2 linked regions of the Mus musculus genome follow. The protein of the gene in region 1 interacts with the protein of each later gene in a biochemical or structural test. Links are inferred from orthologs where the notes say so. Each region holds a gene or a part of one and is shown on either strand. Other genes may lie near its edges.

Region 1 (3,654 bases):
GCATGCCAAGTTCTGGTTTCTTCATTTTCATGAGTTGTTGCAGTAAAGTGGTCTTACCGCTCCCCGTATTTCCCACAATCATGAGCTTCATTCGGTTGTAGGGTACAGCCTTTTTCAGACGTTGTTGTAGAAACCTGGATAAAGAGAAGCCACATAGCAGCCTACCGAGGCATGTGCCAGGCCTAAGTTGTTCCACAGAGAGTGTGTAAACTCAAGCATGTGAAACTGTAACCAGAACCAACAACACACATGCCTTCTATTCTATTAGTAGTTTCACAGTAGTCAATGATATTTTTTAGCACTGACAATGATGTATGGCATGCTATATCATCACCAGTTATAATCAAAATCCCCAAATCTGTTTGCAATATCTATTAAGATGCAATGTGTACATAGATACATATACACGTGTAAATGTGGGAGGATATTTAAACAGTACAAGGAAAAGCTTAACCATTATAAAGTTTAAACTTTACAGTAGCACAGAATCAAATAAGTGTATAAATCAAAGCCCATTTTAATGAAGGTTTGAAAATGAGGCAGCCTTGGTTGTGTTATATACACATATGTACACATACATACATATGTGTACATATGTGCATATATTGTAAGTATAGTACAAAATAGATATTTATATATGGCATTGTGATACAAAGAGTGTCATTAGTCCTGTATACAAGAACACAAGGTCATTATCTGTTCATTTGAACTATATAAGCTATTAAACTATCAAATAATTTTAACATTGCTATTCTCAGTAAACTTAATGTAAAATTAGCTGAAACTAAATCAATGTGCTAGATGGCTCCAGAAAAAACTCACTTAAAATTTAAAGGTACCAGTAGTTTTAAAAATATAACAGATATAGAAAATACATTCGAAACTGTGCTAGCTCTTGCCACATTTTAATATCTTTATTTTTGAGATTATAATATTAATTATATCATTTCCTCCTTCGTCTTCCAAACCTTCCCATAAACCCTTCTTTGTTCTCTTTCTAGTCCAGGGCCTCTTTTTATTTATTTTTTTATTTATTCTTTTTTACATTTTAAAAATTATCTTTAATCTTTTTTTTTTCCACAGGCTAGAAAAAAAATTATCCCCCTCCTGGTCCACTCTCCTACAGTTGCTCATCTCATTCCTCCTCCTCCATCTCTGTCTCCAACAGGATGTTCCCACTCCCCCCTCCTCACCCTGCCAGGTCTCCCCACTCCCCGAGGCCTCAAGTCTCTCCAGGGTTAGGTGCCTCTTCTCTCACTGAGGCCAGACCAGGCAGTCCTCCACTGCATATGTGCCGGTGGCCTTGGAACAGCTCGTGTATGTTGCTTGGTTGGTGCCATAGCCTCTTTTTAAATTAGAAACCAAACTGTGTCATAAGAGAACTTTAAGGAATAATGACTAATCGGTGCCAGCCACAGGCATCTGGACAGGTCCCCTGATGAGACGATCAAAAGGAAACATTAGGAATGGAGGATACTCAGTGGATAAGTGCTTGTTTCTGTGAGGATCTGAGCTCAGGAGCCCATAACCACTCAAAAGTCAGGCTAGATATGGCAATCCCGAGCTTCAGGAGACAGAGATAGGAGATCTCCTGGGAAACCTGGCTAGATACAGGCTCAGAAAGAGACCCTGACTCAGTCAGTGAGTGAAGCAGAATCAAAGGTTATTCGTGATCAAGCGCAAGGCAGGTTGGAGATAGACACCCAACATCACCTCTAGGTGACAAGGAAGCCCCTCACCTGTACCATAAGGAATCATAAAAGCCTTTGCAGGGGCTGCATCTAAACACACCCATTAAATGGGAAGCATGCCAACATGCGTGTTAATAGTCTCTTCAGTCAAACACGGGTGTTAATAGTCTATATGTTTTTCCTTAAAGTGTTTCTGTATGGTCATCAAAAACACAGCTGGGAAAGGCAAGGCGAATTCTACAGAGAACAAACAGAATCACGTCAGCTGACCTTATGATGTCTTTGGCCTTGCATCCTACGTGCTTAAAGTCAAAATTCAGATGCAGTCCGTCCAAGGGAAGATCCCATATCTTGCTCAACTTCCCCATTTCATTTGGGAAGGACCTCAGTTCCAAGTTGTAACTGACGTCGAGAGACGTCAGATTTTCAAGGCAGCCAATTTCTGGAGGAATCTTAATAAAACAGACAAGGATAAAAACCCATTGGTGAGAGGGAAACAGTGCGCACAGCTAGGGCACAAGACAAGAGTGAACAGGAAAGGCTCTGAGATCCTACCAGCATTCTGCACAGCCTTGACATAAAGTCAAGTGTTTTGCGAAGTCTTTCCATTAGTTTGCAATAGGCTTTAAAACAAGCAAAAGGTATATAAAGAGCTTACTCCCATCTGAGCTATTTATCACTTTATTATATTTTAAATTTTATTGGAATGTGTATGCATGTGTGTGTATTCATGCATGTGTGTGTGTGTGCCCATACACACGTATGTGTGGTACTAGTAAGAGCTGATTTTCTCCTTCAACCATGTGGGACGTGGAGAGGTCACTCAGGTTGTCAGACACAGCAACTAGCACCTAGTGAACTACCTAGCTGGTCCTATTTATAACCTTAAAAAGTAAAATCTCCCTTAACAATAAGCTCCATCATATACAATACTGAAAAGTAAGTCATTTGTATTTAACAAAATCTGTTTTTTCTGTTTCTATTCTGTCTTCTCACACTGCCTATGTTATTTAGTAAACCACAAAGATACAATCATTACAAATTACGAAATACGTACACTTTAGGTTCCAACCTAACCAAAGCATTTTCATTTTCTATTCTAATTATTTTCTTCAGTAGAATGTATAGCATCTTGTGTATGCTAGGTGTGTGCTATAATCCCAAGACTAAAAAGATTTTAAGCTGACTATAGTATACCTATAATACAAAACATTTATTTGCTAAAAAAAAAAACAGAAGAAGTACAGGCACCAAAAATATCCAGTCATCCTAAATATCCAACTATCAGACCTTTAGGAGCTTTTCGCATAGACAATAGCTTGAACTTGACAAGAAAATATTTTTCTTATATGTGTAAATACAAGGAGGCTGACTCATTTAGGTGAGGGGTCATATAGATGAAGAATGAAGAGATCTAAGCACGTGGGAAAGAGGGAAAACACAGGCCAGGTGTCACCCAGGGAAGATGAGAGACTCGGAGTATGTCAGGCTCTGTGAATGGTCAGAGGTAGGAGACAGGGATGTTTTTACAGCATTATACATTCAAAACTAGATGCATACACTGTTGCAGTTTGACTAGGTCTAGCCCCTAGCCAACTCTTGTGGTTTGAATGCTGGGCCATAGAGAGTGGCACCATTAGGAGGTGTGGCCTTATTGGAGAAGGGTGTGGCTTTGTTGGGGGATGTGTATCATTGTGTAGGCAGGCTTTCAGAGCTCCTATGCTCAGACTCTGCCCAGTGTGGAAGAGAGACCCTCCTCCTGGCTTCCTGAGAAAGCCAGTCTCCTCCTGGCTCCCCAAGAAAGCCAGTCTCCTACTGGCTGCCTTTGGATCAAGATACAGAACTCTCGACTCCTCCAGCACCATGTCTGCCTGGGTCCTGCCATGTTTCCTGCAATGATGATAATGGACTAAACCTTTGAAACTGTAAGTCAGGCCCAGTTAAATTCTCATTTTTATAACAG
Region 2 (3,599 bases), on another chromosome or scaffold:
CTGGGGCTCACGGTGTAGAATCCACTTCAGGCACTCTTTCCAAAGTCAAGTTTCAAGTAACAGTGTTCACCAGAAAAAAGCATCTCACTAACGAAGTGTGGGCTCCCTCTTTCATGGAGTCAGTCCTATCTTAGAACAAAGATGACAACGCCCAATGTCCAAGCCTGATGAGAACTCCGACTTTCTACCTGGGAGCTTCTACCAATGACTCCAATAGGACCCAAACAAAGCACAGCAGCCGTCAGCCAGCACAGCCCGAGCGAGGACCAAGTGGCAGGTCTGCACCCATCTCCTAAACCCCGCCCCCTAGAGCACGCTTACATGTCTAAGACAGCGAGGACTGCTCATACGCACAAGGACGTTCTTGGAACAGCAAAGGGTCTTTCCTTACTCACCGTTTTGGCCAGGCTGCAGGCCTTTTCAGGAGAGTTTAGAATCTCATAGTAAAAGACTGAGAAATTCAGCGCCAGGCCGAGGCGAATCGGGTGTGTAGGCTGCATTTCTTTCTTGCTGATTTCAAATGCTTCTTGGTAAGCCTGCTGGGAGTTGGACACCGTGGCTGGAAGGAAGATGAAACTGTTAGCGTCTCCCACAGGCCACATCACACACGGGATCCATTATCAAGACACTTTAGTAAAGAGGCTAAAGCGAACAAGCAATCAAAACAAAGGTTCATGTCTTCAACACTCAGCCTAAACCTCTGCTGAGTGTTTATGCTAAGTACTGTTCTGAATGCTTTGGAAGAAAACGGACGGTTATAACAAAGTCTGTTAAAGCAGCCAAGAAACACAGACACATCCCTTCATAAGAACAAATGTGGATAATCTAGTGAAAAAAAGTGATGGGCTTTAAGATTGGCATAAACAAATTCAAATTCTCAACCCACTTGCATGTGGCCTGGAGCAAGTGAAAGGCCTAACTGCCAGGTCTGCTTCCTTTTATTGGAAAACCTCACCTAAATTCCAAGTGCTAAGAGGATAATTTAAGCCCAATTACTTAGCACACAGTGAACACTGAATAAAACAGCTACAATTGCTGAAAGATAGATTCTCCCTTATGGTGGTCTCAAACAGGTCTCCCTCATTTGCGGATGCTGAAACTAGACAGTACTGAAGCCTCGCACACATGCTCAGATAAATTAACACAGGAAACCAACAGAACAGTTTTAACAGTGTACTGTAATGCAATCTGCACTTTAGAAACCATCAAGTCACTTGAACACAAAGAGTGCCATACTCAAGTAGTCAATCAAGTAGCCAATATGGCAACTAGGTGATGACTAGGTGACTAGCACACACAGGGTTACTTTGGGCAAAATTTAGACTCCTTTATCTCTGGAATTTTCCATTTAGATTTCGGTCTACAGATGCAGTAAGTAAAGGTGGGTAAAACAAAATCATAGCCAAGGGGAATTATTGTTCTATAGTTGTACCTACAAAAAGGAAGTATCAGTTCCCAGATAAGAGTCTGCCAAACACATTACATACCAAACTTCTAACACCCTTCATGTCTATCCATTAGAGATTTATTAACCCCGTGACCCCATACATGACAATATTGTGTCTCATTACTTCGAACTTAGTGTCTACAGTAAAGAAAACCCAGGTTTCACCGTGAAGTATCAGCTATTGCACTGGCTGTTTCTTCAAATGTTACTTACTTTGTTTATTTTCTCCGGATGCAACTTCAGAAAGATACCTAAAGTAGTCTCCTTTCATTTTTAAGTAGAACACTTTGCTTTCTGCCTGGGTGGCATTGAGAATGAGATATTTGTCCAACAGCTCCTAAAAAGTGACATTAAGAATTTTGAATTGCTTGTGAGACGTTAAAATTACATTTGAGCTTAAGATATGTATTACTACCACTGATTTTTCTGAAGACTAAAACCAAAAAACACCAAAAAACACTCTCCCCCAAACCCAACTAACCAAATCAACCCACTCCCCCACCCCAAAAAAACCCAACCAATTTTCATTCAAGCTGCTAAATCCCATCTGGCCAAGTTCTATGAGCAGGGGCCTGTAGTTCCAGGCCCCTCAGATCACCACAGGGCTCCTTACACTGTAGCCACTACAGTGGAATGCGATGGAAAAAAGATGGCCCAGAACTACACTGCTAACCAAATCCAAATGGAAAAGACTACAAGAAGACCTCATTTTAATCTTGAAGTGTGGGGGCATGCACACAAAACATGGGCAAAGCCTTGGAGGACTAATACTAACAATGCCTGGCAGTGACTTTTACTTTGCAACTCTTCTGTCTATCTCTTAAAAACAAAACAACCCCCCTGACACTTGTGCTGCTTCTGTAACTGTGAGTGTGTGGGGCCTTTCCATTCTGCAAAGAAAAAGCAGCAGCAGCAGCGGAACCAACCAGCCAAGAACTAAGCTTAAACTTCATCTGACCTGGGAGGAAAGCCTTCTTCTGATGCTTACTATCTGTGTCCACGTGACCCTGGAGAGATGGCCTTGGGACCCCAAGCCTCAGATTCCTTGGCTGTACAATGGGGAAGGGGACCAGGATGACCACCGTCTAAGGCAGTTGTAAGGACAGCAAGGTAACTTATATCTAGTGCTTAACACATTGCTTGATAAGCAGTAGCACTCAGTCTAGAACTATTAGTAACAAATTCCTTTAAACATTTATGCTTACAACAAAAGTAGTTCTGAAGGAGTCCAAGCTTCGTATACAGAGAATTATTTTCGAAGAGTTGTTTTAGAATGTGGCATCCTGAAAAGCTGGTTAAGAGGCAGTGAGTACCATGCTCTTCTTCACATTCCTTCAGATGCTCTGAAAAGCTGGTCTACATTTCAGGGATTATGGAACTCTCTTGCCTTTGAATGCATGCCATACTTCATCTGAATACCAGATGCACCTAACATTCAGGAATTAGTGCACCATTAACAAACCCCCAAACAACCAAGAGGCAACATGTTTAACCATGAAACTTATCTTACACCAAGAAGCTGATAAAGAGAGAGGCTCAAGGCAAAGTCCAGCTATCAGGGACTTCATTTAATCGTTATCAGAGTATTCGAGAGGCAGGAGTTGTTTGTAAGTACTGTGTAGACAGACAGGGATAGAACTCCTGTGGGTTGAGGGAAGAGCATGGCCTTAGAGCCGACAAGCTTTATACTGGTTTTCAAAAGAAGCGTCAAGGGAAGTACTTTAGAGAGACAGACAGACTGCAGGAAAGACGTCCCTTTCTCTTTAAAGCAGCCTCAGTTACCTTTCACCTGCTTTCACGTAGAAAATAAAATTTCCTAGTGGGCTAGTGGGCTCCAGATATGAGGGAAAGAATATAATCATGAGGTGTTTTAGGGTAGGTATCCCTCCCAACCAACCCCCAATGTAGCTAGAAGGATCCACCACCTGACTGCAGTGTACCTAACCCACAGGAGAAGCCCATACCACCTCTGACTTGGCTTTCAAAGCTACACTGCACTTGACAGGCATGCCTAAGCTTCAACATCAGATTTCTACACTTTGTGAGGGCATGGCCAAGAAAAGGCTGAAGGCCTTTAAATCCCTTCCTTTCCAGAGATGAATCACTACTGAAACCAGAACTGTCCGCTGGAGGCCGCATCTTTCTAAATAGC

The links. The genes of interacting proteins can lie anywhere in the genome.
Region 2: the proteins of Lrrk2 (region 1) and Ywhab interact on a protein array, tested with the Homo sapiens proteins (2 studies listed by BioGRID and IntAct, with this or other methods). The link is inferred for Mus musculus from reciprocal best matches to the Homo sapiens genes LRRK2 and YWHAB.

What each region holds. Positions count from the first base shown.
Region 1 is NC_000081.6:91,746,141-91,749,794, reverse strand, and holds part of Lrrk2 (leucine-rich repeat serine/threonine-protein kinase 2), read right to left. Parts: intron 2,144-3,654; coding exon 1,962-2,143; intron 135-1,961; coding exon 1-134. UniProt on the Homo sapiens protein: Serine/threonine-protein kinase which phosphorylates a broad range of proteins involved in multiple processes such as neuronal plasticity, innate immunity, autophagy, and vesicle trafficking.
Region 2 is NC_000068.7:164,012,191-164,015,789, reverse strand, and holds part of Ywhab (14-3-3 protein beta/alpha), read right to left. Parts: intron 1,785-3,599; coding exon 1,661-1,784; intron 560-1,660; coding exon 396-559; intron 1-395. UniProt on the Homo sapiens protein: Adapter protein implicated in the regulation of a large spectrum of both general and specialized signaling pathways. Binds to a large number of partners, usually by recognition of a phosphoserine or phosphothreonine motif.